Alligator mississippiensis: one gene and its partners. The protein of the gene in region 4 interacts with the protein of the main gene of each other region in a pairwise test. Links are inferred from orthologs where the notes say so. Each region holds a gene or a part of one and is shown on either strand. Other genes may lie near its edges.

Region 1 (7,831 bases), on a different chromosome or scaffold from region 4:
GGCAAAAGAGGGGGGCGGGACGGAAGGGCTGGATCCCCCCTACCACATCTTGGGTGCCTGGGTCCCCTCCCTCCCATGAGCCTGGCATGGGCGGGCAGGCAGGAGCCCGTTCATCCAGGTCCCTTCCAGGTGAAATTGGAGTGGGGAATGATTTGGAAGGCCGGATGCCTGCCTGGGGTCTCATCCTTTGCAGTCCCCAGTGCCTGGGTTCTCCCTCAACCATGAGAATGGATTAGGGACATGATGTGGGAGCCTGGGTCCCCTTGCCCTGGAATCCCAGATGCCCGTGTCCCGTCCCCAACATGGGACTGGATTGGAGGGGTGACATAGGAGCCCAGACACCTGGGTCCCTCACCAACGGACCAGCTGGGCCCCGATGAGGTCGTGGATGTGGTAGGGCAGCCCCAGGCGGACAGCACGGGGCGGGCGCCGGGTCTGCAGCTCCGCCAGCAGCACCTCGCGGTACCGAGCCTTCTGGATCAGGGCCAGCACGGCCTTGCGCCCTACAGGAGGAAGGGGGCAGGTCAGGGGAGCCCAGCCCTCGGAGGGGAAGGAGTGGATCAGGGGAGCACTCACCTCGCAGGAAGGCCTTCATGAAGCGTCCAGCACCCGGCACGGCCAGCCACCAGCTCCCGGCGTCTCGCACCGTCAGCACTCCAGCGCCCACCAACTGCCTGGGGAGGCATGGAGGAGCTGCAGCTGGCTCTGGGTGGGTAGGGCCGGGTGTAATGGGGACAGAAGCTGCAGCTGGCTCCAGGGCAGGTGTTGGGCTGGGTGTAACAGGAACAGTAGCTGCAGCTGACTCTGGGGGGCATCAGACTGGGTGTAATGGAGACAGGAGCTGCAGCTGGCTCTGGGATAGAACAGGGCTGGGTGTAACAGGTCACAGACTCACGTGATGTCGGCGTCCCGGAAACCGAAGTCCTGCATCATCCTCACCATGTCATAACTAATGTCAGCACAGGGTGTGAGCACCGAGTCCAGGAAGCGTCGCACCAGCGCCTCTGACTCCTTTCCCGCCACCGCCTCCACCACCTGATGGGACCAGGACCCATTACCCAAGAGCCAGCCATAGCTCCTGCCCTGTTACACCCAGCCCTCCTCCACCCTACAGTCAACCACAGCCCAGCCCAGCCCAACCTTGGCCTTGTAGTCCTCAGTGAAGACTACCCCGAAGGCATCAGTGTCAAAGCCGAGCTGGAAGAGGCGGACCAGGCCCTCCTCCTTCATGCTGTTCTGGGGGGAAGGGGAGAGTCAGAGGGGCCCTAATATTAGTGGGGGGCAGGGGCCCGATCCGGGGGCTCACCAGGTGCTGGTCCACAGCTGTGCGAGCAGGCACCAGGCTGTAGAGCTGGTGGCGCAGCACAAGGGGGGGCAGCGCGTCATCGAACAGCCCCCGGGGGAAGAGCGCAGCCAAGGAGTGCAGCGCCCCCTCCACTGCCTCACGGCCCTCTGGGAAACAGGGGCACTGGGTCAGACCCTGCTGCGGAGACCCAGATGTCCAGGTGCTTGCAGCCCCCCTTCACCCCCCACTTCTCCCCCAGGGAACCCAGTTCCCAGCCCCCTCCTGGTCTCACCCAGCTGGATCTGTTCACTGGTCAGAGGACCCAGGCAGCCACCCCCCAAAGAACCCAAGTGTCCTGCCCCCCAACCCCCACCAAGAAGCCCAGACTTCCAGTCCTCCCCACCCCCACCCCAGGGACCCAGGCATCCTGCCCCACCACCCTCCAGGGATCCAGGCATCCTGCCTCCCCGAGGGGACCCAAGTATCTTCACTAATGCCAACTGTCACAAAGCCATCACAAAATTCAGGATTTCGAAGTCAAAATGACTCTGACATTTGATTTCCTGATCCAACTCTCAGATCTTGAGATTTTCCCCAGCTGGTAAGTGGAGGGAATGGGCAGGGGAGAGGGAACGGGTGAGGTGTGGGGCAGACTGAGGCCCCCGCAGTGAGGGAGGCGGTGGGGCAGGAGCAGGGGTGGGGGTGAATGGGGCCCCGGGCCAAGGCAGGTCATCCAGAGGCACTGGGGGGTGGTCCCCTGCAGGAGCATGCACCCCTGGGGGAGGCATGGGCAGCCCATGCCCCTGCAAAACAGAGGTGAGCTGCCCACTGCAGGTACATGCCCCGCCATGCCTCCCCTCAGGGTGTGCGGCGCTGTGGAGGGGAGGCCCTAGTGCCCCATTCACCCCTGCCCCAGTGCCTCCCTCACCACAGAGATCTCTTTTGCACCCCCCCTTTCCCTCCACTTACCAGCTCAGAGCCATCTGTGCATCTGTCAGTGTCTCCATGCATCTGCCCCTCACTCCCACCCCCAGCCCTGCTGCTGCCCCTCACTCCTGACCCGCAGTACCTGCATCTTGCCAGGGTGTGTGGGGTCCCCCTTCCCCGGGTCCAAACCCTGCACACACGCACAGCCCCCCAAGCCTTCACAACCCCCCCCCCCCCACACACACACACACTTCAAAAATAGCATCTGCGATCTAGGTGCCAGTCTCTTGATTGTTTATGAGTTCGTCTCATGGTGTTTTGGCAGGGTGGGGCTGGCAATGCTGCGCCCCTGGCACCCCCGGCATCGTGCCCTGCCCCCCACCAAGGAGCCCAGGCTTCCTGGGCCTGCCCCGGGGACCCAGGCGCACCGGGCTCGGGCTCTTGCCGCCGCCGCCGCCGCTTGTGGGCCCCGAAGGCGTCGGCAAGGAGGCGACGGCGGCGCCGCTCCATGGCCCCCGGTCCCCGGGAGATGACGTCACGCCGCCCCCTCTCCGACCCCAGGACTCCCAGCCAGGCTGGGTCGCCGGAGGACGACGTCAGCTCACGCGGAAGAGGCTTCAAGCACCTTCCTCTTTTCCGGAAATGAGTTGTGACGTTAGGACCCAACCCCCGAACTACGCTCAAAAATGACATGGGCGTGCTGGGGGAGACTAAATGAGCAGGCAAGGAGTTGTCACGTGGGCGCGCTGCCGGGTCAAAGGTTGGGGATGTGCGGCGCAAAGCTACCCTCCGCCATCTTTTTTGTGGGCAGGGCTGGAGCTCACCAGCCGGATGAGGCCATCTTGGATGAGGGCAAGCGCCCTGCCTTTGTCAGCCATCTTTTTTGAGAGCGGGGTGCCTGCTCTTGCGCGTAGCAGCCAGTCCCAGGGCCCGCCGCCTGCGGGGCCTTTGACGTCACCGCCACGCCCAGGAGCAGGGGGCGGGGTTTCCCCGTCGCTCTGTGATGACGCCACACGGAACTCGCGCCACCGCGGCGGCCTGAGAGGGACACGGGAGTCGCCGGCGGCGGTGAAGGGTCAAAGGTCGCCAGACGGCGGGGGGCTGACCCTGGGAGTGCAAAGGGCAAAAGTCACAGCCCCCGGCGGGGCCTCCCTTTGGAGGCCTAAAGGCTGCCCAGGGGCGGGGCCTCAAGGGTGGGGGCGGGGCCTAGGGTGAAGCTCTTGGGTGGAGCCCGGGAGTGCAATGGGGAGGGGGAGGAGAAAGGGGCGGGGCCTTCGGGCATAGGGGCCCTCGGGGGTGCCGCGTAGGCTGTCCATCCCAGAATGCTCTGCGGTCGGGAGGTGGGCTCGACGCGGGTCCCTTTGGGAGGAGATGTGGGGATTTCCTTCCTGGGGTCAAGGGTTAAGTGGGAAGGGCCTCAGGACGTCACTGAGGCAGGGTAGGTCCTGGGGGCCCACCTGGGCTAAGGGAATCTTGGGGTGTCAATGGTGGGAGGCAGTGGTGGTCCCTTCACCCCTCCCCCCCACGTCCCCAGGTCTCCATGGCAACCGCCGCCCACCCCCGCAAGCGCCCCCGAGAGGATGACCCTGAGGCCCCGCCCCCACAGCGCGCCCCGAGCGCGCCCCCCCGCACCCTGCCCGTGTCCCCAGGGTGCTATGCCGGGCCCTTCCCCTTCTATGGGCGCCCGGCTGAGGTCGGACACTTCTCCCTGGACGAGCAGCGCCGCTACCACGGCGACGCCCGGCAACTGCGCTACTTCGCCCCGCCCCCCGACCACCGCCCCGACCCCCCCTTCGACCTGCTGGACGGCTACCAGGACCGCTACGTGCGCCGCGATGAGGACGTCCGCGAGGGCCTCGACCACCTGCTGCGCTGGGTCCTGCACAACCGGTGCCGCCTGCCTGGCCACCGCCCCGGCCAAGGGTCAGCTGGGGTCCTGCGTGTCGATGGAGTCTGCCACGGCCTGGAGGGTGGATGAATGGGGACCAGGGCCCTAGGGGGTGCCAGGGAGTGGGGGGTGGGTGGATGGGGTCCTCCATGAGCCTTGGGAGTGCCAGGTGGTGGATGAATGGGTTCCTCCACAGCCCTAGGGGGTGGGGGTGATTAGGGTCTTCTACAGCCCTGGGGGTGCTGCGGGCCTGGGAAGGACTTTTCTAAACTGCTGTTCACTCTGGGACCTACTGATGGCTCTGCCCCTCCCAGTCCAGGCAGGCACCACCTATGTGGTTGGTATTGCCCCCCAGCCACTAGGGGGTACAGTGAAGGTGGAGTCTGCTACCTCTGAGCCTTCAGTCCCACCTGAGGCTGTTCATCCTGGTCCCTACTGATGGCTCTGCCCACCTTTCCCTCCCCAGCAGGCACCAGGTGAGCACACATGGGGGTTAGTGATGTCCCCACAGGCACTTGGGTGCTGTGAAGGCAGGACCTGCAGCCCTGGAGCCTCCATTGTGATCCACGGCTGTTTACTCTGGTCCCTACTGATGGGAGCATTCCTTTTCCACTCCAGCTGGCAACTGCTGAGCATGTGTGAGGGTCAGCGGTGCCCCCTCAGACACTGGGGGGATGGCATGAAATCAGAGCACTCAGCGCCTGAGCCCAGGGCTGTTCACCCTGGTCCCTACTGACGCTCCTCCCCTCCCCCTGGTAGGCGCCCGGTGGCGGCGGACGTGGTGACATGGCGTGGGCACCTCACCAAAGTGGTGACAACGCCGTACGAGCGGCGTGAGGGCTGGCTTCTGGCTGCCACCCGCTTCCACGGCACCATCTATGTTAGCGAGGTGGAGACGGTGGCCGCCCGTGCCCAGCGTCTGGCCCGGTCCGAGGACCTGCGGCGCCTCATCTACATGGGCTACAAGTTCGAGCAGTACATGTGTGCTGGTGAGTACCCAGGTGTCTGGGCTCCCTGCTCCCCCCCCCCCCCCCCTGCTCCACCCCACAGGCCACTCACAGCTGGGAAAGGCCCCGGGCACCAGACCAATGCTCTTTTAACCTACCAGACCCCGTTCTCCTTTTGTGCCTCAGGAAAGAACCTGGGCGTCCGGGCTCCTAGGCTCTCCTGTTCTCACCCCCCCCAGCATAGAAGACAACCCAGGTGTCCAGGCTTCTAGTCCCCCAGCTTTCACCCCCAGCCCCCCTCACCCCCCAAGAACCCAGGCATCTGGGGCCTCAGCCCCCATTTTCCCCCCAGTAAACCCAGCCTCCCAGCCCCAGTGCTGGAGAGACCCCAGGTGTCCGGGCTCCCAGCCTCCTCCTCCTCCCAACCAAGAACTCAGGAGTCTGGGCCCCCCAGCCCCCATTTTCCCCCCAAAGAACCCTTCAAGCCCCAGCGCTGGAGCGACCCCAGGTATCTGGGTTTCCAGCCTCCTGCTCCCCCACAAGACAACCCAGATGTCCTGGCTGACCCTCCCTCCCCCCCTGTGCCAGCAGAGCGGGCGGGGGGCGGTGCAGCACCTGGGGGGGTGGTGAACACCAACGCTGCCTACTGCACGGTGCTGCGCGCCCGCCTGGGCCCCCACTCGCTGCTCTTCGCCGCCGAGGTGGACTGCGCTGACCCCGCCCCTGGCCCTGCCCCTGACCCTGCCCGCTACGTCGAGCTCAAGACCACGGCCACCCCCACCGTCTCTGCCCAGCACCGTGCCTTCCGGTGAGTCCCTGATCCCTGATCCCAGCCAGCGCCGCTCCTTTCTCTGAGGTCTGACCCCTGGCCCCATCCAGCAGCACATCATCTGGTGAGCCCTTGACCTTATCCAGGGCCCATCCCAGCCCTGGTAATATCTGACCCCTGACTCCACTCCTGACCTTACTCAGTGCCACATCTTCTGGTGAGCCTCTGACCCTTCCTTCTTGACCCCCCCCCCTTTTTCTGGGGAAGCTTGACCCTAGCTCCAGCCCCTGACCCCACCCAGCATTGTACTTTCTTCATTTTCTGGCTCCACCCATGACCCCAGACCTTTCCCAGGGTCTGCCTTCTGGAGAGAGCCGAGCCCAGCCCCACCCTCTGCCCAGCATTGAGCTTTCCAGTGAAGTGTGACCCCTGACTCTACCACTACCCCATGCCCTCCAATTCATCCCTGCCTCCTGACCTGCCTCTGCCCCTTGACCCTGTCCAGCATTCCTCACTCTCTTACCCCCCCACCCAGTGCCATGCCTTCCCGTGAGACCCTAATCACACCCAGCCCCCTATCTTCTGGAGAGACCTAACACTTGACTCCACTCCCTAGTCTCTGCCCTAGCCCTGCGTGTCCTGGTGAGACCCCACGCCCTGATCCCTCACTCAGCTAGTGCTTTCTAGTGGACCCCAGCTCTTGACTCCTGACTCTACCTATGACCCTGTGCAGGTTCATGTCTTCTGGTGAGGCCCTGCCCCATGCCACACTGCATGGAGCCCTGACCCTCCCACTTCCGGAGTACACCTGGAGGGCTGTGGGGATGAGACACCCAGACACCTGGGTTTCCTCTCCACCTCAGGCAGATACTGGGGGTTGGGGTGAAAGATCCTGGATGCCTGTGTTCTTCCTCCGCTCCTGGTGGGGGTGGGGAGACAACCTGGACACCTCAGTTCTCTCTAGTTCTGGGGCAGTGGGGGCTGGGAGCTTGGACACCTGGGTTCTACAGCCCCCCCCCCCATCCACAGGCGCAAGCTGCTGAAGTGGTGGGCGCAGTCATTCCTACCTGGGGTGCCACGTGTAGTGACCGGGCTGCGAGAGCCCGACGGCTCCGTGGCTGCACTGGAGACCTACGAGACAGCTGCCATGTTCCAGCTTGTGCGGGTGAGTCCCTGCCCCCTACCCGCTACCTGCACTGACCCTTGATCCTGACCCCCCCCCCCCCCCCCCCCCGTACCCCCTGCAGGATGACCCCGGGGCCTGGCAGCCGGCTGCCTGCATGAACTTCGCCTTGGCCTTTCTGGACTTCCTTTCTCACGTTGTGACCCAGGATGACCCCCGGTGAGCATACATGGGACCCAGGAGTGTTGGAACCACTTCTCCCCTGAACTCCATTCCTACGCCCTCCCTGGGGGTGGGGGGCCTGATCTCAGGGGAACCCATCCCTACCCCATGCCCTGCTGGAAGAACCCAGGTGTCCAGGGACCCCATCCCCAAACTCTACCCGTATGCTGCAGTAGAAGGAACCAGGCACCTGGGTTCCCAGCCCCTGCTCTCAACACCCCCAACCCTCATCCATCTCCCAGGGATGGGTCCCCCAGCCCCCCCCGGGGAACCCAGGCATCTAGGCTCCTCTGACCCACCCTCTCTGCCCCCCTGCCAGGCTGGTGACCCTGTTTGCATGGGAGCCTGGTTGTCATGTGTCCTGGACCCGGCACCGTGACTCCGACTACAACTTCCTGCCCACCTGGTACACCGAGGCCTTGACCCAGGACCCAAGCCCCCCACAGCCCCCCCAGGCTCCCCCCAACCCAGCAGACCCCCAGTAAAGCCTTGGGGGGACGACGGAGCCACCCCACACCTTTGCTGTCCATTTGTCTCTGTAGGTCTCTTTCTAGCTAGGGAGCAGTTTACACAGGAAAATACAGTAACTGAGGTGGGACTTCGGCTCCAGAGTCACAGCCTCCCCAAGCCCTGGAGTAGCTCCTGGCCCCATGACCCAGACAGGGGTGGT
Region 2 (5,273 bases), on a different chromosome or scaffold from region 4:
CTCCAGGGGCAGCTGGCCAGGAGGGCTGAGGGTGGCCTGGTGGGCACCCAGGCGCTGCAGTGCCTGCCCCACCTCACCCAGTGATGGGCACCACAGCTCTGTGGGGGGGAAAAGGCATGAGATGAGCAGGGTCCCCATGCCCCTGCCGTGAGCACTAGGCCCAGCCATGGCAGGGGAAATAGGCAAAGCCATCCACCCTCCCCCATGCCTGCACTGACCAGGTGCATCAATCTGCTGCATGCTGATCTCCCACAGGGCCTGGAAGGCACTGGGGGCGGCACCTGCAGGCTGCGATGCCAGCTGAGGGGGGCAGAGATCAGAGAGCACATGGCTGCCTCCAGTAACTTCCCATAGCCCTGGCTATGTCCTGGTATGGGCAGCCACTGACCACCCCTGGCTCCCCACTCATAGAACCCACCCTGTGGTTCCTCTCCCATATCCTGGCCTGTGTGCCTGCTCTATGTGGCCAGACTTACCTGGAAGAGCCAGTGCAGGACAGGTGGGGGGCAGGCCAGCACATGGCGGTACAGCAGAGTGAGCAGCCCGGTGCGCACGAAGGTGACCTGCCCAGCTGGCGTGGCACTGCCCAGGCAGGAAGAGGTTAAGGGGGGGGGCAGGCCTTGTGCCATCCCCCACAATGCCCAGGGCCACCCCCCATACACTCCTGGTATCTCTGGGGGGCAGGGATCCAGCCCAGCAGGACTGGGACCCATGGTGGGGGGGGCAGCATTACTATATATAGTGCAGGCCCGAGGCGGTCCCAGCTGCTCACATACAAAGGGCACAGAGGGTGGGAGAAGAACACAGAGCCTTTGTGCCGAGACACGCACACGGCCACGTGGAAGGCGTGCCCTCACGCACATGCACATGCTGTCCCCGACCATGTGCCCCATGCACACATGCCTCTGTGCATGTCACCTTGCACACACAGACACATGGCCCTGTGCAACGTGTATGTGCAGCCGTGTTTCACCTGAGTCCAGACATGTATCTGCATGCAACGTCCAGGTGCAACAGGCAAATCCATGTGATGTGCATTCATGGGTGGCACATGCAATGCAAGCACCCCTAGACACACAGACTCATGTAACGCGTAGTCACACACGCCCAGATACAGACACATGCAACACACACGCTTCTGGGTGATGCACAAATCCATATGCCATGCACATAAGCCCAGGCGACATGCATGCAATACACACTCCCGCAGCCATCCACCCAGGGACGTGTGTTGCAGCAGGCAACACCCATACCACACACATGCTCAGACCTGCAGCCACATGCAACATACAGGCAACACAGACATGCATCCCCAGGAGTTCGGCCCATGTAGTCATGTGTGAAAACTACCTGCCCCCACAGACAAGCCTGTATATGCAACACATGAACACACATGAGTGTGCCATCTCCGACTTCCTGGGCTGAGTTGGTGTCTGATACTCCCCCTATCAAAGGGCCCATTGTCCTGGGGTTGGGGTGGGGGCAGGTGGGGGTATGGAGGAGGGGCCCTGCCCCATCAAGGGTCCCTTTGTTCTACCCTGGGATGGGACAAGAGGAGCTAAATACAGGCAGCTGATGGGGCAGTTACAGGCTCAGGCCGGTTCAACAGGGCAGCTTCCCTGCCATGGGCCAGTTACAGGCCAGGGGGTAGTTTCCAGGGGACAGAAGCGAAAAAGGGGGTACTCACTCGAGAAAAGCAGCCTCAAGAGGGCTCTGGGGTGCCAGGCCATGGACGCACACAGCTGGGAGGGACGCAGGGGTAGGCATGGCCTCCCCAAAGATGCCCTCCCCAGGGGGAAAGTCTGGCAGCTCACTGGTGACCAGTGCAAAGCGCTCCAGAAACAGCCTGCAGCAGGAACAAGCACAGGCATCTCAGTGCCAGCCTGGGGGCCCCCCTACTGCCCATGCCTGGTGGGGATCTAAGCCAGGCTGTCAGACAGCTTAGGAGGTAAACTGGGGGGGGGAGGGAGGGGAGCTGTGTGTGCTATGTCCCACCTGTGCTCCTCGGGCATTGGTGTGTCATCGGGTGAATCTTCAGAGCTGTCATCGGGCAGTGTTGGCAGCCCCTCGCCCACCAAGCACCAGGCCCTGGGCATGGCAGCACTGAGCATAGGGCGGTGCAAGGGCCAATGCTCCAAAGCCACTCCCATGGCCATGCCCGGCCCCGCACCGGGGCCCACCCCAGCGTACATTCCCCATAGCTCACCTTCTCTCCTGCAGCAGCGCTGCCAGACTGTTGACATCAGGATCTGGCTGCAGGCCCTGTTTGGTGGAGGCAGGTATCATTCTGGGGGCACTGTGCCCCCCCACCCCCACCCCTCAAGGCACTGCTGGACACTTCCTGGGGGCAGGAATGTGCCCAGCAATACGCATCAACCCCTTAGTGATGCCCTTGACCTGACACTCACCATGCCAGGCTCCGGGAGGATCCGTGCTGCTCCCCCCAGCAGCTGCGCCAGGGGCAACAGCTCTTCCTCATCGTCCTGCTTCTCCCCAGATCCAGCCGTATCCTGGCTGGGGGACACCATACCAGCCTGGCAAAGGAAGTCCAGCTGCACAGGGCTCCAGTCAGCTGGGAAGGCCTCATCAGGGCTGGTGTTGGTGCCCTGTGGCAGATGCGGCATCCTCTTGGACTTCCGGTGGGGGGCCCTGGAGCCGCGCCAGTGCCTGGAGGCTTCAGAGGGCAGGAGGACAGTCACTGGATGGCTCCTGCTCTCCTCAGCAGAGCCTGGTGCTGTGCCAGGGGGTAGGAGTAATGGGGGCAGAGAGGGCTGATGCCCGACGGTGGACCTGGAGGGGTCTGGTGTTACCTGCTCGGCATGGGGCAAGGCCCAGGCTGCTCCGGGCTCTACTGCCTCTAGGTCGCTGGCTCCTGCTATCCTGTGGGCCCAGCAGGGTCAGGTGGGCACAAGAAGGGAGCTGATCTACCCCAGGACTGTCCCTACTTGCCCCAGGGGCAAAGGGCTCACCTGGGCGGGCGGGGAGGCCGGGTCGGGGTCCCCGAGCAGAGCGTAGGGGCGGCCGACACGCAGGCGCTTGGTGAGGCGCAGCTGGCGGTAGCGCTGCAGGCTGTCCTGAAAGCGGCGGCTGAAGAGGCCCGTGCTGGGCGCCCGCAGCGAGGACAGTGGGATCTGGTACCAGCGCAGGCCCCCCAGGATGGGCAGCTCTGGGGTGGGCACTGGGGCCACCACCGCCTGCTGGGCCATGGTGCCAGGGGGAAGAACTGGGGCCTGGAGCGGGGAGAAACAGTGTCTTGGCACTTGATGCAGGGGGTGAAGCCTCCAGGATGGTTTTTTCCTGGGAGCTGGGGCCTGCGTGGGGAAGCAAGCACTCGCTGTGACCACACCACTGTCCCCCTGACGTCACACGATGCCCCCGTGACGTCACACGTGGCAAGGCAGTAGGGTTTAGTGGTCAGAGCAGGGGAGTGCTTGGAGCCGGGCGCCTGGGCGCCATCCCCAGCTGGGGGTCGTCGCCCCCCGACCTCTGCCCTTGTGGGCGGAGCCAAAGCCCCACCGCTCCCGCTGCCACGTGCTCCGCGCCTTCCGAATCCCAACCGCCGCCTGCCCAACGCTCCCCTCCGCGCGACGCCCAATCAGCAACCCCGCCAGCCGGACCAATCAGAGGCCGCACCTGCCCCGTCAAACGCACCCAATCAGAGCACGCAGGGCGGTCCTCTGGAAACCCACCCCCGGCCAGCAGGTGGCAGTCGCCGGCAGAAACCCAAGGTCACCCCCTCGCCGGGCTCACGGAGACCCCGCCCCCGTCTACCCCCAGCCTCTCTGGCCACGTGGCGCGGAGCGGCCAATTCCCGCCGGGCGCTTCAGCGGAAGTACCGCCCCGCTTCCGGCGCTGTCCCCGGAAGTAGCCGCAGTCGTCAAGCGGCCTGGTGTAGTCTCTGTTGGACGTTATGGCAGCCCGGTTTCTGCGCGCATACGGCGCCCTCCGCGCCCTGGGCGCCCGCCACTCGCCCGCGCTCGTCCTGCGCCTTGCTGCGCCCGCCCGCACCGCCGCCGGAGGTGAGGGGGGCCGGGGAGCGTGGAGGACACAGGCGTCCGGGGCAAGGGCGGGGGGCGGGCCTGGCTGACTGACGCGGTGGTTCCCTGCACGCCCTGTAGGCGTCCCCACCGACGAGGAGCAGGCAACCGGGCTGGAGCGGAAGGTGCTGGAGGCTGTCAAGAAGGGAACGGTGAGCACGGGGGGCGGGGACTGGGACCAGGCATGGGGGGCTCTGGGGGCCCTGGTAGGTGCTGATGCCCTCGCCTTCCTCTCTTCAGGACCCGTACAGCATGTTCCCACCCAAGAGCCAGGGGGGGACCCGGGAGCACCCCACCCTGGTGCCATCTGTCAATGAAAAGCGGATTGTCGGCTGCATCTGTGAGTGTCCGGGCAGGTGTAGTGGGGACGTGCTAGGGGAAGAGCCTGGGGTGGAGGTGAAAACAAGGGCTCTGCTGGAGCTGGGGGTTAGGGGGCAGAAGTAGCCCTTTGTCCTGCTCTGTCTCACCCCTAGCAGCTGAGGGTGGGAGGGGAAATGTTCTGGCTGTGACCCTGATCTCACTCTCTCCTGGCAGGTGAAGAGGACAACAGTGCCATCATCTGGTTCTGGCTGCACAAAGGTGAGCCACAGCGCTGCCCATCCTGTGGGGCCTACTACAAGCTGGTGCCTCATGAGGTGCCCCATTGAGCTCCTTGCCCTGCCCTGACCTGCTCTACTCTATTTGCCCCTATGTTTGATTCTGGGAGAACAATAAAGTTGTGACTGTCTCCTATTTTGCACTGTATTCTTCATTGCCTGGGGCCAAAGGATGAAGGTGTATCTGCCTTCTCTAGAGTCGTGCCTCTACGCTCGTTGCACCTCAGGAGAGCCTCAGCCTGGGGCAGGGACCCTGGATTTGTGTTATGTTGGGGGAGCGGTGCAAAGGACTGGCCCCATGTGGTGTGGGGGTGCTGGGAGTAGTAGCAGCCTCGGATGAGCCAGCAGTCCCAGCCCAGCGTGGCACGGGTTACTGCTCTGGGAAGGGGAACAAGGTCCCAGGTATGATGGGGAGGGAGAGCTTGGCTTCTACCCAAGGCCTGTGCATGTTGCCTGGGGGGTGAGTTCTTGTTATGTAGGGGGGAGGAGATGCCCTCCAGATGCATGGTAGGGAGAGCTCAACCTGCCTTCAAACTTTGGGGATAGCACGAGTGGCACTGCTTGTATTAACCTCCAGAGGGCAGCAAAGACTGGTGGGAAGGGAGGGGGGTGCCAGCCCTGCATTAACCACTTGCATGCC
Region 3 (7,669 bases), on a different chromosome or scaffold from region 4:
GGTCGAGTTCTAACCACAGCACCGTCCTCTTGGATGTCTTAGGTGAATATAATTCACTCACGTCTCTAACTTTGAAAGTGAGGCCCATGATCTGTCACTGACTGGCTTTCCAAGGAAAGCTGCAGAGCTTGATGAACTGACACCACTGTGACCATCCCTCCACTGCAAATGTCCCCTGGCTGAGGAGCAGTCACACCTACATTTGTTGGATTCCTGTCTCCAGAGATCGATCGTTGTCCTCCTCTTGTTACCAAGCATGAAAAGCACATGGAAGAGAGAGGAGCTATTGGGATCTGCTCTTACCTGGCTGAGTTTGTCCTGGTCCCAAAGAGATCCTATAATGAAAGCAACCAGTCGGCCTTCTTCAAACCAGCCAAGTGACAGCTCTGGGCACAAATTCAGGAAGTGTCGGATCTCATCCATGTGCAGGGGGCAATCGCCCGAAACAGATATAAATGCTGGAAAAGAACAAAAAGGCCACATGAAAAGAGAGCTAATCCACAGCGCCTCTGAGTCTGGGTGAACATCAGGCTAATTGAAGCTAATTTACATAACGGGCATGAACCAGAAGCTTGGGATTGAAGGGACTTTTGAAGGCCCAGAGGGATTGGGCTAGAGGGCCTCACTCCACTCAGGACCAAACTGACTGCCAAATGGCAGGTCAGGAAGGAATTTTGCCCCCAGGTCAGACTGGCACAGACTGCGAGGAGGAATATTGTCTTCCTTTGCACCGAGGCATGGTCCTCTTCCAGGTTCCTCTGAGCATGAGTTAACTCGCTAGGTCTGTCACTGCAATGGCAGTGTCCTCATGACCCTGTTTTTAGATGTAGCATGGTGTAGGGTGTTTCTGGCCTTGTGCTCTTTAGCTGCATACGAGTCTGAAGTGGCCGTCCTGGTGAATCCTTAGGCAAAAGGCTGCCTGTGCATGCAGGGGATTGAGATCAGTGGCTTCCTAGTCCTATGCTCTTAAGTCTGGGAAGTTTGGATCCAGCTCTAAACAACCTGAGCCTTTTTCTGCTTTCAGTAGAAGAAGCCAGAAGGCTTTGGGCTACCTCTTCTCATGTGCACTTCCTCAGCTACCTGCCTTTTAGAGACTGGATGCCTCACCGTTGGGACAGCAAAGCCCTCCGTTTTCCCTGCAGGACCACCCTCTGAACTGATGCCTGCTCTCTCATCCGCACAGCTCAGACCCCAGAAAAGTCCTCAACGGGATCATGAGTCCCTACTTGAACCTGTTCTGCCAGCAGTTTTCTCAGTCGTTCCTGCAGCATTAGGGCTTGGTTTCAAGCCAGGCACGAAGGTTTATGTAGCTTCACATTTCAGTGTCTGCTAATTGATGTGGGGAAAACCAAACCCCGCTGGTTTGGAAATGCAATAGCTGCCAAAGCTTGATGACGGGTAGTCTGGGCAGAGGTGAAGTATGTTGTGTTCGCAAAACGTGTGACCTTCAGGAACACCTTTGCCTTCTAGCAACAGCTGGGGTAACCTGTCATTTTTGTCTGGGTCTCAGCTGAATTCCTCTTGGGAATAACTCGTCTTTGGCTGTGCAGGTTTCCTGGCACACCTTAGAAATGGTCATGAGAAGGAACAAAGGGCAAAATTAAATCCAGTACTAAGCCAGGGTGTAGATCTGGGAGCAACGCTGGATATGGCTCAGCATCTTCAGGGCTTTGAAGACTCAGAGAATCCTCCTAAAAATAACTGGCCTCACTACAAATGTTCCTGGATCTAAGAAGCTTTTAGTCTGTGCCCTGCTGGGTGCGGAGGCCAAGAAGATTATTTCATGCTACTGAGTCTGGTCCAGATGGCTACAATGTGCAGGAGGTACGCAGCAGGGAGGGTAGGTGACTGTTTCTGGTCCAGGTGACTCTGTCCTTGCTAGTATAGTAGGAGAAAAGGAACAAGTGCTCTCCAAGCCATTGCGAGGTGCGCATTGGCATCTGACTGCACGAAGCCTGTCTGGGGAGCAGGTTAATGTGTCCCAAAAACATAGCTTCATGATGGGCCAAGGCGTTCCCTCACTGGCATCGTTCCTCGAGGCACAAAATGAGACCCTGACATGGCCCTGAAACAGGAGTCCACCCTCTAGCCGCCTCCTTCCCAGTGACCCCAAAGTCGCCACCATCTCTGTGATTCTCTCTGGGCTTGGGGGCTGGAAGAACGGGGAGCAGCGACTGTTTTTGGAAGGGCAAAGTGAATTTTCAGACAACTCTGTGAACAGCTGAACAGCAGGTTATAATGGAGCTGACACTAGAGACTCCCCTGGTATTTCCAGCCTGGCTGGTGGCTCATTCTTTCCCTGTGTTTGACTCTATAAAGCACTTCGGGCTTCAGTTTCTGTGAAAGCTGCGGTGGTAATTCCCAGCTATTTCTCATGTGCGATTTAATTGTGTAGTCTCCAGCCCCGAGGGACATTTCCATGCCTACTCTAGCATTTTTACTAGAGGGCAGGGAAGGGCTCTAAACCTAGGAAGGGGTCTGGCAAGGAAGAACGGTCCTTACCTTCCCTCTCGATCTCGAAGACGCTGATGGCATCCTCGGGGCTGAGGCACCGGAACTCGCTGGCCGGGAGCGTGTGTCGGCGCTGGCGTCCGGGGGAGCTGCGGGGAGACATCAGGTGAACGGGCTTCAGGAACGGCAGGGCGCTGATCACCGACATCTCCCGTCTCCTGTGCTGCTGCCCTCTGGAAATGCCTTTTGGTCACCAGCAAGTCGCTATATCAGTAAATCTTCCCTGGTGCGATCAGCCAGGGGCTGGAAATACCTGCTGAGCCACAAGGGATTAGGCAGTGTGCCTTCCTTGCTCTATATATACACATACCAAGCCCTGAACGTGCTCACACAGCAGCTTGGGCAGCCCATGCAAATGTTCCTGGGCTCTTAGTCATTGGTGCTGCCTGATGTAAATGAGGTTCGACCCGTCATGGCGCTGGGGCCCATGCATGGGCTGGGTTGCAGAACCAAAGCCCATCTACCCACCATCAGAAGCACAGAAACAATAGCCAGTGACCCAGCTGCTGGAGACCCGGGTGGGAACAACAGAGCACAGGGAGGAACCGTGGCTTTTAGAGGCAGCGGGGTTAAGCGGCGAGATGGGCAAGGTTAATGCGCTGACGTGAGAGAGGGACAGAACATCGCTCTCCGATCACCAGAAAGCTGGATCTGGGGGCTGCACAAGTGCTTTTAGAGCCTGATCCTGGCCGGGGCTGAGCATTCACAAGGTGCTGTGCACCCTCTGACTGCTGCAGCTCAGAGCCCCGCAGAAGCTGCTGAGCACCGTGGAGCATTGGGCCCTCCGTGCTGTCATGGCCTACTGCTTCCTGAGATACCCTTACAGGAGTCTGGGCATCCAGCAGGCTGGCTAGTCCCAGCTGGCCCTGGGTACCTGAGTGGGTCTGGCTGCCCCTGGCCTGACTACCTCCATCTGGCCCTAGTTACCTGCAGCTTCCTGCCTATAAAGAGCAGCCCTTTCAGCACCTGCTTATAAACAGCAGCCCTTTCAGCACCCTTGTTTCTCTGTCTAGCTCCGAGCTTCTGACTCCTTGTTCTCAGGTTCTGCTTGTTGTTTCCTGGCTCAAGTCCGGAGCATCTGTGTCCCGGTTGTCTCCTGACACTTGTTACCACTGAGCAATTGGCAAGCTGGACATAGAGGCCAAGGTTTTTCCTGCTTTGAGGCGGGGAGACTGTCCTACTGCAGGGGCAAGGGGTTGGAGAAAGGTGGTATGCAGAACGGCTGAGTTTGGAGCTGCCGTGTGCTAGGCTGTGGTGGGGGAGATATCGGGTATGGAGGGGGAAACCCACCGGCAAAGCTATTTAGCAGGGCAGGTGGCTGTAGAAGAACTGCCCAGCTGGAGTTTCCAACTGGGCTGGGAGCAGAGTGCAAGCAATGGGGATGCAAGGCCAGCATGGCCACCTTGGTTCTCACACATGCTCTGCCATCTGCCTTTGTCTGGCGCTGGTGCCCTCCCTTTTCCAAGAGCTGCTGACAGCTCCAATTGAAATGCCTGTTTTCTATGATACAAATGGGCTGTGGCTGGAGACAAGACATGAGCCCATAACACACAGGGAAGGACTTTGCCAGGACACATACCACCTGCATGGCTATAATCTGTCTCCGGATCCTCCAGAGCTAGACCTGATTCTGCAGTTCATCCAGCTTCCAGCCTTTACAGCACCTTTGCCACCAGGTTCCCTGGTTTGGTATGAGTAGCAGAAGGCTCTACAAGAGACTCCATGACTGGGGGCAAGTTGGATCATCTGCTCCCATTTGCTGCAGTGGGCTGCTTAATAGGAGGCTTCCACCATGGCTTGTACTATGGGGAAGGGAGGGATGTAGGAATTTGCTTGCAGCTGCTATTTCCCAGCTGTGACTATGGGGAGAATGATACACAGGTCTGCCGGTGAGATGCACTGAGGCTTAGCAAGAGGAGAAAAATCTCTAGCCTGAGGCTCCTTTGATTTCCCAGATGCTCTCAGAGCCATTCAAGGTTTGCTCAGCTTTACAAAGCAGTCCTTTATCCTGGGGGAGAAATCATGCATAAATGAGTGGGGGGGGGGGGAGATTACTGAGTCCTTTGTCATCTACACATGAGGCAATCTAACCTGAAGTCAGGGATGAGGATAAGCAGATTTTGACTTGCTTGGCTCCCTCAGCAGGTGGATGACACCAGCTTATACTTGGTTATGCACTTAGGACAAGTCTGCATGAGAGGACACGTGGTTTATAATGATGTAGCTTGTGGGTGGGAGCTATGGCGGTATAAAATCCTAGATGGTAGGTAAGCCAAGTTGTAGTAGTTGGATGTGGCTGTTTTATTTTGAACCTTAGACACTCCTATGCACTAATGGATCCCTTACGTGACTTAACCCTTATTCTCTGGACTTGGCCACTGTTTCTTAGTCTGAGAGTCAAATTGACCTTTCATGGGTCTGGAAGAAAGGGAGCTTCAGAAAGTTATTCCAGCGGCGAGTGGAGGCTGCCCCAGGCCTCATGAATTCTCAGGATGGTATTGCACGGCTGCTTTGGTAAAAGAGTAAAAGTTATCCAAGTGACTGAGGTCTTTCAAGAGTAGCAGGTAAGCTGTTTACAGTTAGAATGAGTTCACCATGACTTTGGCGGTGGTCCCATGGTGAAGGGGTGGTAGGACCTCACAGCAGTGCATCCCTCTGCTTTGAAAGGGCAAGATCTGAGCATAAGTTGGAAAAGTGACTGTTAAGGAGTAGATTCAGCTATGCTGCCTTGGCTTCCCAAGTAGAGGGCCTGCCCAGGCAGGGAGATGCTGCTCTACCATGAGCAAGAAAAGCGCAGGCTCATGCTCTTGAGTGGCTCTTTCTTCAAACCCTGACCTCCCATCTTCTACAATATGATTGATTGAAAAGAAAGTCCTGGAGACCCTGCCTATAAGTCTAATCCAAAGCCCATCCAAAATGATAGAAAAACTACCTTTGATTAACGGTCTTCAGATAAAGCCCTAAACTCTTGTTGGCCAATGTCTGTATTTCATCCAGTGCAGGCTTTGGCCTTGGAAGCAGCTTCCAGCTGGATCAAAGACTTCCAGGACAATAACTGGCAGCAGCTTTTAGTGACCACTTTTAGGTTCTTTTAGTATCTGTTCCCCTCTGCTCAGCTGCTGATTCCCAGCAGGTTTCCCAAAGAGCTAGAAAAATTAGTGGATCACCTTGTGACAGAGAACGGGAAAAATTGCACAGGGTGCATCTACCTGGGTCCTAGTTTCCATAGATCATGAGACACTTAGCTCCCACCTCCAGCAGCAGTCAGGCTGGGCAGTGAGACCTCCACTCCCTCCATCCACTGTGGCAAAAGACATAGCCACGTGGGGTTGTATAGAAACAGGCCCAAGCTACAAAGTTCTGCCCAGCTGAGTCTACAGCAGATTTCAGCGTCCTTGCACAGTGATTCCACGGTTCGTGGGATGTAGGTTTCTTGGTGGAGCAGCTACTCTGAAGAGAAGCCTGTGCTGAGCAGGGTGTTTCTTCCTATATCCTCTTGAACTACATACACACATTTGGCCTGATCTGGAAACCATTGAACATAGACTTCAGATCAGGCCTTTCTATGGCCAATGTAGGTGCTAAGGGCAATTGTTTACAGTCAAAGTATGTGATCTTGCAAATATGTGCATGGCTTATTACTTATGTGTTCCAAGGATCAGGACCTTTGTAATCTGGTCTAACTGGGAATGGCAGCAGAGGTATGGAATGGGCCTGAAGATATAACATGGTGACAGTTTATCTTTCTTGCGGAGAAAAGGACCCAAATCAAATCTCCCCAAGCTTTGAAGAACCTGGAAAATGGCTGCAGATCCCAATCTGGACTTTATCACAGGCCCTTAACCTTTTTGTGGGCTTACGGTGTCTCCCCTAAGAGCATAGACAAGCCTTGATCGTGGTGGATGCATACACAATCCTTTATTGAACCTAATGAACGGAGGCCTTTAGTTCCCATATTAGCTGGTCACAGCCTGTTGTACCTGACCTCACAAGACAGGATCGATTCTTCACAGCCCAACTAGATCTCTAGATGTAAAAACCTCAGACATGGATTAAACCCTACACCTTGAACTTGCCCCGAACTTCTGGTGTGCGCGCTAGAGAGAGTGAGCACCAAATGATTAAAACTAGATAGAAGCGCATAATATTTTTGTACAACTATCCATTAAATTCACAGGAAATGCACTTCCCACAGCTGGAGGTAATGGGCAATTGTGCCTAAAAGCTGACTCTCATGAACAGAAGTGTATCATATGATTGTTTGCCAGCTAAATACAGGCAGTGATCATTGCAAACTGAATGATCAGTGTGATATCAGGTTACTCAAGATTACTGATGGGCAGGTGCTAGTCTCAGCTTCTAACAATAGGCCTGTAACAGGTTAATAGGATTTTCAGAAAAAAGAAAAAAGCAGACGCATTGCTGGCACTGAGAGAGTGGTGTAGAAACAGGACTATGGGGAGTTGAGAACAGTGTGCTTGGAAATGGTTTCTGTGAGGGGGAAAGCTGGTTCTTCAAAGCGTAAAAGGTTTTTCAGTAAAGGGCCTTCTTCAACACTGATCCTGATTTGGAAAAAAAAAAAGTGTGAGAGAGGGCAGGAGCTGAGTGGGAGAGTGACCGGATTGTTCAAACATCACATTTTGACATTTTCAAAACAAGGTTTTCCACTTTTGACAAGACAGTCAACTAGAATGACAGTCTGGTTACAAGATCTACCTAATTTATAGTAGGGGGGAAAAGCCCAATTAGGAAAAGGTCAAAATCAAAATGTTTTAATTGATTCCATTAATTTATTTCCCCTCTTTTTTTTTATGGATTATCCATTTAAAAAAAAAATTAAATTGACTTGTCATGCTCCTTTGAAGTGAGGAGATAAACTCATGCAGTTGTGCCAGTAAACGATGTCCAAGAAAATGGACCTATCTCGGGCCCAGCTCTCACTGTTAACAAAGTATTGCTGCTTTTTTTACTTATAGTGAATTGCTTTATTTGTTGTGTGTGAATTTAGGGGCACAGGACAGTTTCTCCAAAATGTTGTAATCTCTGAGCTCTGGAAGCAGAGATGTGATATTGCACACGTATTTGCGTGATGAGCGTTATCTTGGACTAGACTTTGAAGAGTAAAAAGAGAACAAGGAGAAAACATCAGATGGGAGAG
Region 4 (7,844 bases):
AGTGAATCTGACTTCACGCTACGGTCAAGCTGAATACCCATTTTTACCATATCCATCTAAGAATGAGTCTTCACATACAAGTTTCACTTTTCAACTCATTATATGTGGCAATCAGATGCTAGTTTGAGAAGAACAGCAAAAAAGACTCATCAGGAAAACACCTATTCCACAGCCATCGGAAAAAAAAAAAAGTGCAAGAGTTCAAACTTTCCCCCTCAGTTCCAGACCCCAGGGAGGACTGGGCTTAAACTTTGACAAGTGACGCCAGCTCTGGCTGTGTAACTCTACTGCACACCCCGTGGCTGTGGAAAGAGTAGCAGCCTTCTTAGAAAAGCTGATTTTATCCTACCAGATGCAACCAAATGCCGGAAAAGAAGGAGGTACGAAACAGATTTAGAACATCATTAAGCCCTTTAGACTGGTTCCCCCTCAAGCTGCGAAGGGTAGGCAAACTGATTACTGGAGAGACCAAAAAAGTGTGGGTTAAACAGATGCTTTCGTCTGTTTGAGAAAAAAAATAAATAAAAAATGTAAAAGCTCATCAAATCAATGGAAAGATTCTGGCCAGTGTATCTTTGGATTAGGCCGCCCAGTAAAAATGTACTTCCAAATGAAATATTTTAATATTCAGTTGAACTGAAAAATGAAAAAAAAATCATGGCCAAGTATAAATGAACCAAATAGGGCATCTTTTCTGCATGTGGGCACACATACATGCTGCAGGGAGAAGGGTGCAGGAGTAACTAAAGGAGTGGGGGAATGTGCTTACATGTCCCTTCTCCAAAACCTAGTCTCGTAAGTCACCCATATTTCAAAGGAGCTGAAAGCGAGTTTGCTCTGCACACTAGGACTCTCACGTGATACAAGCATGACTTGAATACTCACCAGCTTGTAAACCACTCTGTAATGCAATTATTTTCTGCTGCTGCTGCTCTATGAGATTGGTCAGCGCTTTCACGTGTTTCAAGGTAAGTTCAAGAACCACTGCCTTCTCCAAGTGACCTAAAGTCTGGAAACAAAAGGACACATAAGTACAGTTCTGATGAAATGAAAGAGAGTTACTGCCATGGGAGAGAGCTAACAGTGTCCTTACTCTGCAAAATCTTTTATCCTGAATAATAAGTGGCTCTGACTCCACAGTTTATGTAAGCCATAAAAAAAAAAACAAGGTGGTGCTGGCTGCAGAGAAAGCTGTAGTTATGTCTTATGAGTATTTTGGGACCAACTACATAGCTTGGAGGAAAGTATCTTATTTATCTGTTCTGCTACTCCTGCCGGTATCGTGACCTTAACACCAGGGACTCCAATCAAGGGTTCTTTTGAACAGCGACAGGAGAGGGGAAACCTGCAAAGTAGCAACCAAAATAGCTTTCCCCAATAAAGTTCTGCGATAAAAATATACTTAAAAAACCCCCAGCCCCTTAACACTCATATTTTGAAAACCAGAAGTCCCGAATGCTACAGCAGGAGAGGTTGCTACCTTGAATATCTACTCCACTATGTGAATGTAGCAAATCATTTAAAACTTGGCAGTAGGTAGCATTGAAACAAAATCTAAAAGGACCGGACTGTGGGATAAATTAGGGATCGTCTAGTAACTGGCATCTGGTCCTACTTTGCAAAGAGCAGCATGAAGCATTTCCAAGATCCAAAAGGAAATGCCCAAACCTTTGCCGAACGATGTTAAAATTCAAGCGTGCATTAATGACCTTTACAAGAGGCCCGATTTTACCATAGCAGCAGCTCAGGTCTTATCTTTCTCCCTCCCTACTGCATTACAGGCATTGGTATAGAAATTCACTGCCTTTGCAAGGAAATCTAATGCTAAAGGAAGATCAAAGTGGCAACTCCAGCCAAATCTCAGCCTTTCCCAGCCTATGCTGCAGTGCTCAAAGGAAGCCTCTAGATGGCACGTTTACTTGCACAGAAATCCAGGAGACCCGCACGCACCCCAAAAAGGAAGAGGAGCTTGGCCAGTAGCCAGATTTTCACTTACTGTAAGTTTGAGATGTTCTGGTAAGAGATCTTTCAGTTGGGCGATGCACTCGTTAATCCTATCCCGCCTTTTCTTTTCTATCAGCCTGTGGGGCAGCTTGTAGGTCTCCTGCAAACCAACAGCGGGGAGAGAAAGGTGGCTAAGTCAGTCAGCCCAGATCCCAAATGAGTCCCTAGCACCATGGAGAGACACAGCGATCAGAAATGATCTAGAAACTAAAACGCGACCTCCCGGCGATGTCACCAGGGAGCTCGACTGGCTTCATCCCTTGCAGAAGCATCGCTCAACTCCTGCAAAACTCGGTTGCCCTCCTTCCCCCGCTGCAGGAGACGCGGGTTACGCCAAGCGCAACCGTCCCACCTCCAAGAAACCTGGAGGCAGGGCAAGGCAAGCTGTCCGGGCTTCTCTCCCACCCTTGTGCGCGCGCTAGCAAAAGGGCACCCCCGGCCGCCCCAAATCCGGGCGGCCAGCGCCAGCTCTCTAGTGGATGGCGCGGGCGAGGCGGGCTCCTCTTACCTTGCTGTCCTCGCTCCTTTTCAAGCCTCGCCGGGGCTTGTAGACCTGGTACATGTGGGCGAAGTCCAGCCTGCGCACAGGGGGAGAACAAAGCGGCGTTAATTTTAATCGAAGTTCAAGCCCCGTCCCTGCTGCAGCCCCCTCCGCCCCGGGGTCAGGTTCAAGCCCGTGCCCGGCTGGGGGCATCCGCAGGGCCGGGGCTTACCCGGGCATGTCGGGGCTGTCCAGGGCGGGCAGCTTGCCCAGGCACACGGGCGGGGGCTGGGCGCTGGGGATCCTCTCCATGGCCGGGCGAGGAGGGCTGGTGCTGCGGCGCGGCGCGGCGCGGCGGGGCCGGGGCTGGCGGTGGCTGGGGCCGGTGCAGCGGGCGGCTCGACTCAGCGCGGGCCGGGCATGCCGCTCCGCCGCGGTCGGCAGCGACTGAGCGAGCGAGTGAGGAGTCCGGGGGAGGCGGCAGGCTGGGTTAAATGGGAGCGGGTGGGTGGATGGAGCGACGTGTTCTACCCTGTGACTCCGGGCACGTCTGGCGGCGGCGGCGGCGGGCGGGGGGAGGAGGAGGAGGGAGGGAGGGTTGCCGTCACATGAGCCTCACGTGGCGGACACCGCTCTGCTCCGCTCAGCTCCCCCCGCCCGCCCGCCCGAGCCGCCGGCGGCTGCGGCCGGAACGTGCGGGGGAGCGCCCTGCGGCCGGCACCGCCCCGCCCGCCCGCCTGCCTGCTGCAGCCTCGGTGTGCCCACGCGGCTGCCGCCCGTGCGCCCCTACGTGCCCCCCCACACTTAGTGCTCCTAGTGCACCCTCCGCGTGCTTCCAGTGCACCCTTAGTGCCCCCGCTGCCACCTCAGTGAGCCCCCAGTGCAACCCCAGTGCATGCTTAGTGCCACCTCAGTGCCCCACTGTCTCAGTGTCCCCAGGGCACCCCAGTGTGCTTCCAGTACACCCCTAGTGCCCCCCACTGCCACTTCAGTGAGCACCCAGTGCAACTCCAGTGCACTCTTAGTGCCCCTGGTGCAACCCCCCACACTTAGTGTTCCCAGTGCACCCTCAGTGTGCCTCCAGTGCACCCTTAGTGCCCAGTGCCATCTCAGTGAGCCCCCAGTGCACCCTAAGTGTGCTTCCAGTGCATCCTTAGTGCCCCCAGTGCCCTAAGTGCCTCTCAGTGAGTCCCCAGTGCACCCTCCATGCCTCCTCAGCGTCCCTCATTGCCCCCCATGTGCCCTAACTGCCTCTTCCATGCACTCACTCAGTGCACCCCCAGTTCCCCCTTAGCGTCCCCCCACTGCCCCCTCTGTGTCCCCGCAGCACGCCCAGCTTCCCCCTCACTGCCTCTCCAGTGTCCCCAGCTGCCCCTTCAGTGCCCAGGGCTCTGCCATCTGGGGACGAGTTCCCCTCCACCCCAGCCTGGGTCCTGGCCCATGAAAGAAGAGCCAGGCTGTGGGCGCAGCCAGAGCCAGCGCCCCCCCGGGTGTTTTTGGCTGGATGGGGAGAACCAGGGTAGGCTGCAGGGCTGCCCCACGAGGCTGGAGCAGGGCATCCAGCGCCAGGGCTGTCGTGCGGAGGGCACGGGACACTCCCGTGGGAAAGCGCTGGGATCTTACATAAGGCAGAGGTGTGGCCGGCTTAGTGGTCTGAGCCGAGCCCAGCAAACCCGGCCCTCCCTCCTCTGACACGGGCGCCTTTGACCTTGGCCAGGTCCCTTCGGGGCTGTGCCCCAGCTCTCCCATCTGCTTGGCAGAGCCGGTAATACTAACTCACCTCCCTCGGAGGGGTGTTGTTCAGATTAATTAGTTGACGTCTGTAAGAGCACTTTGAAGCGGCTAAGCGCCGGGTATTATTCTGAGCAGAGCGGGCAGGGCTCCAAGTCTGTGGAGCACAGCAGAGGCAGAGCACGCTGGCTGCACCTGACTGCAATGTGTTGAGCTTATTATCCGTGTTTAATGGAGTAAGGCAGGGCGGGGGAAAGGCATTCATAAAACACAGTGCCAAAAAATGACTCTTCTGAGCACTTTCAATTGAAAAATTGCCACAAGCGGCAGGGAAATAAGTGAGAGAGGGCCCCAAAGTCACCCTAGGCAAATGCTTTACCACCCACTGAAAGAGACTTGCCACCCCAGCTGAGCTATTACATAATCGTGGCAGCTCTCCAGAGGGAACAGACGCAGAACATGCTACATCTGTTTTCAATGTATTTAGCTATTATAAAAAATGTCTATACTTTGTAGTAATCCAGTGGCTAACAGCTTGATAAAACGCAGCTCCAGATCCAACACATTGCGTCATCCTTAGTGATTTCCACATGCCGTTGTGCGGCTGGCCCGGGAATATCCCAGCCCAAATGTCAAGGCGTGGGAATGGCACTGAGAGCAGAGAAGCATTTGGTGGTTCGAACAAGGCAACATGCAAGACGTGCGAGATGAGGGGAGTGCAGCTGAGCCAAAAGGGACAGAAATCAGGGCGAGGGGTTGGTTTCGCTGATACCACTGCGAGGTCAAAGGCTGATTGAGTACAGCTTCACTGGCAACGTGAGCAGGACACTGAGGGCCCCAGAAATCCTCATGCAAAAAAGGAAGGCGAGGCATAGTGCTCACAAAGGAAGCTGGGTTGCCCTGGCATCCATTTCTCTGACTCATTTACTGAAGGTGGAAGCAGGACCAAATGTGTATCAATTTATGGTAAGCCCTTATGGTGGTAGGAGCTCGTATCCTGGGTTCTGACAGGGGGTTAGGACTTCTAGATTTTGGTCCCACTGCTGCCAGGGGTTGCCATGGGACTTTCTGTAAATCACTTAAGCTTTCATGTCACAATTCTCTGCTTAGCTAGGGTCCTTTTATGCTGTTTGGGTACACATATGGGCCTTAAATTGGGTATGGATGCCTTTGAGGACATCTGTTTTCCACTCAGAGCCCATTGTAGCAGTGGATGGGAGTATGGCTAAAGTCCATTACTCTACAGGCAGAGCCATGGGAAGCAAAGTGGAAGCGAGGCCACAGAACTGAGGTTGCTGTAGCTCAGGACTCATCTACACTATATATATATATATATATATATATATATATATATATATCAGCCTTCCTATGCTGGTGAAGCCTGTGATATTTACCTGTATGCCCATACCATTATATGGTATGGGCATACGGGTAAATATCCTGAATATGGAGACCATATTCCAGCATGGTTTATTTCCCTTCACTGAACTGCAATAAACATCTGTATGCAAGAAAACTGTGGCTTCACTACTATGTTGTGGGGGGGAAAGAGGGGCCAGAAATGGTACTGCTTTAACCACACAGGAACAGCAAATTTGGCAAAACCTTTAAGTATACACGAGGTCTTAAGTGGAGAGCCAGGAAGACCCCTGAAAAGCATCCAAACTCCACAAGTCCAGGAACAAAATAGGCAAGAGCAGGGCCAGCCATGAAAGCATTGCAAGTAAGTAGCAGGACTTACCTATCTTAGTGGGGTTTGGGAAGGTTTAACTCTTTGATCTCTTTGATTCTCAGATGCCAGCTATTATGCAAATGCTAACAGTGCTTATGGTGGTGTAGCTGCCAAAGCAACCTATTGATTTGGAGGGCTGGGATCATTTTCCTTGCTGCACGTGGCACAAGTAGAGGCAAGCTCACAAGACACAAGGTATATTTATCCAGATAAGGTGCTAACAAAACTTGGCACGGAAAGTTTGTCAAAGGTTTCCCTATCTCATCCTGTGGCTCCTGGGACCGTCAGGAGCATGAGGTCAACAACTGCTTTGCTGGTGAACAGAGATAATGTTTTATGCTAGTATAGGTGGCATGTTCGTTTCAAAGTACACCATCATTGGATGAGTGTGTGGTTGCATGAGAAGCCTTAAGAGAGTTTAGTACTGTTGACCTGTGACTTCAGAGGGTGATTCAGTTGACTCTACTCTTGCTAGGCCCCAGAGGTCAGTTTTCTAGAAACCGTAGTTACAAGACCCCTGCGGTATCCACTGCTTAAACAATGAGCCCGTGGTGGTAGTGACTGAGAGCATCAAAACAAAACTATGCTGTGGGGATCTGGTCTCATCTGTGTTTCATAGCTCCAGCCTGAAACTGTATGACCCAGCCTAGCATTCATTGCCATGGCCAGCCACTCATTTCAAACATCTTCAGGTCTTGGCCCTTAAGACATGATGTGGCAGACACTTATATGTTTAAGTGCCAAGGTAGTTGCGTTGACTTGAAAGGAGTTACTCATGTGCTGAGAATTAAGCATGTAGGGCCAGGACCTTCAATTGTAAGCTCTTCAGAGCAGAGATTGTCTTTATTAATGTTTCCCAGGGTGGCACTTAAATACATTTGGTAATAACTGTCACAAAAGTGAGGTTGACTCATTGGCTGTTAATTACTACAACTGCGATAAATATGTAAAGCAAACTGCATAAATAATGAAAAGTAAAACTCTTTGTTTTAAAGATCTAAGCTGCTTGTTGTGACACTGAGGAGGAAATGAGAAATGAGTTTAACCTACTAGTCTTGTTTCACCATCTAAAATGTTTCTTTATCAAAGCATAGGAATAATTAAGGTTCATAGCAGCAGGCTTCTTATGGCAAGGTCCAACTTTTAGGGTCAGGGTTTGCTATTTTTTCTTCGTTCTGAGTTTTATGTTTAAAGTCAAAATAGATGCGGGCCAATGCATGCACGTGGGCTGTTTGACTTTTGCCTGCTCTGAGAGATATTTAGTGCATTCCTGCAATGGGTGGTGAGCTACAAAGCAGGGTCAGAAGTAATCCCCCATGATTTAGCCCTTTTACCGGGCGTACGCTTGCCAAACAATACTCTGTATCAGGATTTACTGATGACCTTAAGGGTGGTTGGCAAAGATCCCCCTAAAAAGAGGGCCCCTCATGAAGTTATTACATTCTTGGGCATCAAGTTCGATTGAGGGAGAATTGAATTACACTCTTCTGTCGAGCTACTGCTTCTGCTTCCATAAACTAAGGCTGATGAGGTTATCAATTTGCTGCCACAGTTTTGTTTGCAGAGCTCCCTCTCCATGGCAGGTTCTTTTATGACACCTCATAGGGACTAAAGCAAAATGGTAAAAGAACTGGCATTATTTTCCAGAGCCATTAAGGGAGAATCTGGCCTTTTGAATGGTAGTTTTAGAGCATTTGAGTATCATAGGATAGCAACAGCTCGTGTCCAATGGGGATTTGTAGTTATTTACAGATACATTAGCAAGGAAGGGCTTGGATGTTGTTTTCCAAGGTGTGCAAGGGCTGGCTAAAGGAACTGAGTGCATGGAGCTTTCTCCTCCAGAGCAGTTTCCCTCATAATTACGAAAATGGGAATTTTGGGATGCAAAGTTCCTAA

Evidence for each region.
Region 1: the proteins of BHLHE40 (region 4) and STK19 interact in a two-hybrid assay, tested with the Homo sapiens proteins (2 studies listed by BioGRID). The two-hybrid records come from large-scale screens. The link is inferred for Alligator mississippiensis from reciprocal best matches to the Homo sapiens genes BHLHE40 and WHR1.
Region 2: the proteins of BHLHE40 (region 4) and cytochrome c oxidase subunit 5B, mitochondrial interact in binary tests that used the Homo sapiens proteins (3 or more experiments, as listed by UniProt). The two-hybrid records come from large-scale screens. The link is inferred for Alligator mississippiensis from reciprocal best matches to the Homo sapiens genes BHLHE40 and COX5B.
Region 3: the proteins of BHLHE40 (region 4) and AANAT interact in binary tests that used the Homo sapiens proteins (3 or more experiments, as listed by UniProt). The two-hybrid records come from large-scale screens. The link is inferred for Alligator mississippiensis from reciprocal best matches to the Homo sapiens genes BHLHE40 and AANAT.

The regions. Positions count from the first base shown.
Region 1 is NC_081834.1:62,525,126-62,532,956, forward strand, and holds the start of STK19 (inactive serine/threonine-protein kinase 19), read right to left. Parts: upstream 3,001-7,831; 5' UTR 2,906-3,000; coding exon 2,641-2,905; intron 1,453-2,640; coding exon 1,307-1,452; intron 1,237-1,306; coding exon 1,141-1,236; intron 1,036-1,140; coding exon 896-1,035; intron 675-895; coding exon 577-674; intron 504-576; coding exon 356-503; coding exon of another isoform or gene 352-355; exon of another isoform or gene 343-351; intron 1-342. Other genes in the region: DXO (decapping and exoribonuclease protein), read left to right, coding at 3,753-4,135, 4,860-5,089, 5,636-5,855, 6,846-6,981, 7,064-7,158, 7,481-7,646. UniProt on the Homo sapiens protein: DNA-binding protein which is required for efficient transcription-coupled nucleotide excision repair (TC-NER). Acts as part of a TC-NER complex which assembles and interacts with RNA polymerase II (RNAPII) when it stalls at DNA lesions.
Region 2 is NC_081830.1:10,720,516-10,725,788, reverse strand, and holds cytochrome c oxidase subunit 5B, mitochondrial, read left to right. Parts: upstream 1-3,849; 5' UTR 3,850-3,910; coding exon 3,911-4,019; intron 4,020-4,118; coding exon 4,119-4,189; intron 4,190-4,277; coding exon 4,278-4,377; intron 4,378-4,571; coding exon 4,572-4,684; 3' UTR 4,685-4,769; downstream 4,770-5,273. Other genes in the region: protein FAM178B, read right to left, coding at 1-98, 219-300, 477-582, 1,688-1,846, 1,996-2,088, 2,207-2,262, 2,409-2,674, 2,811-2,880 and 1 more. UniProt on the Homo sapiens protein: Component of the cytochrome c oxidase, the last enzyme in the mitochondrial electron transport chain which drives oxidative phosphorylation.
Region 3 is NC_081831.1:13,975,777-13,983,445, reverse strand, and holds the start of AANAT (serotonin N-acetyltransferase), read right to left. Parts: upstream 3,017-7,669; 5' UTR 2,660-3,016; coding exon 2,503-2,659; intron 459-2,502; coding exon 304-458; intron 1-303. UniProt on the Homo sapiens protein: Controls the night/day rhythm of melatonin production in the pineal gland. Catalyzes the N-acetylation of serotonin into N-acetylserotonin, the penultimate step in the synthesis of melatonin.
Region 4 is NC_081835.1:11,999,796-12,007,639, reverse strand, and holds the start of BHLHE40 (class E basic helix-loop-helix protein 40), read right to left. Parts: upstream 3,020-7,844; 5' UTR 2,798-3,019; coding exon 2,718-2,797; intron 2,583-2,717; coding exon 2,513-2,582; intron 2,105-2,512; coding exon 1,997-2,104; intron 1,010-1,996; coding exon 886-1,009; intron 1-885. UniProt on the Homo sapiens protein: Transcriptional repressor involved in the regulation of the circadian rhythm by negatively regulating the activity of the clock genes and clock-controlled genes.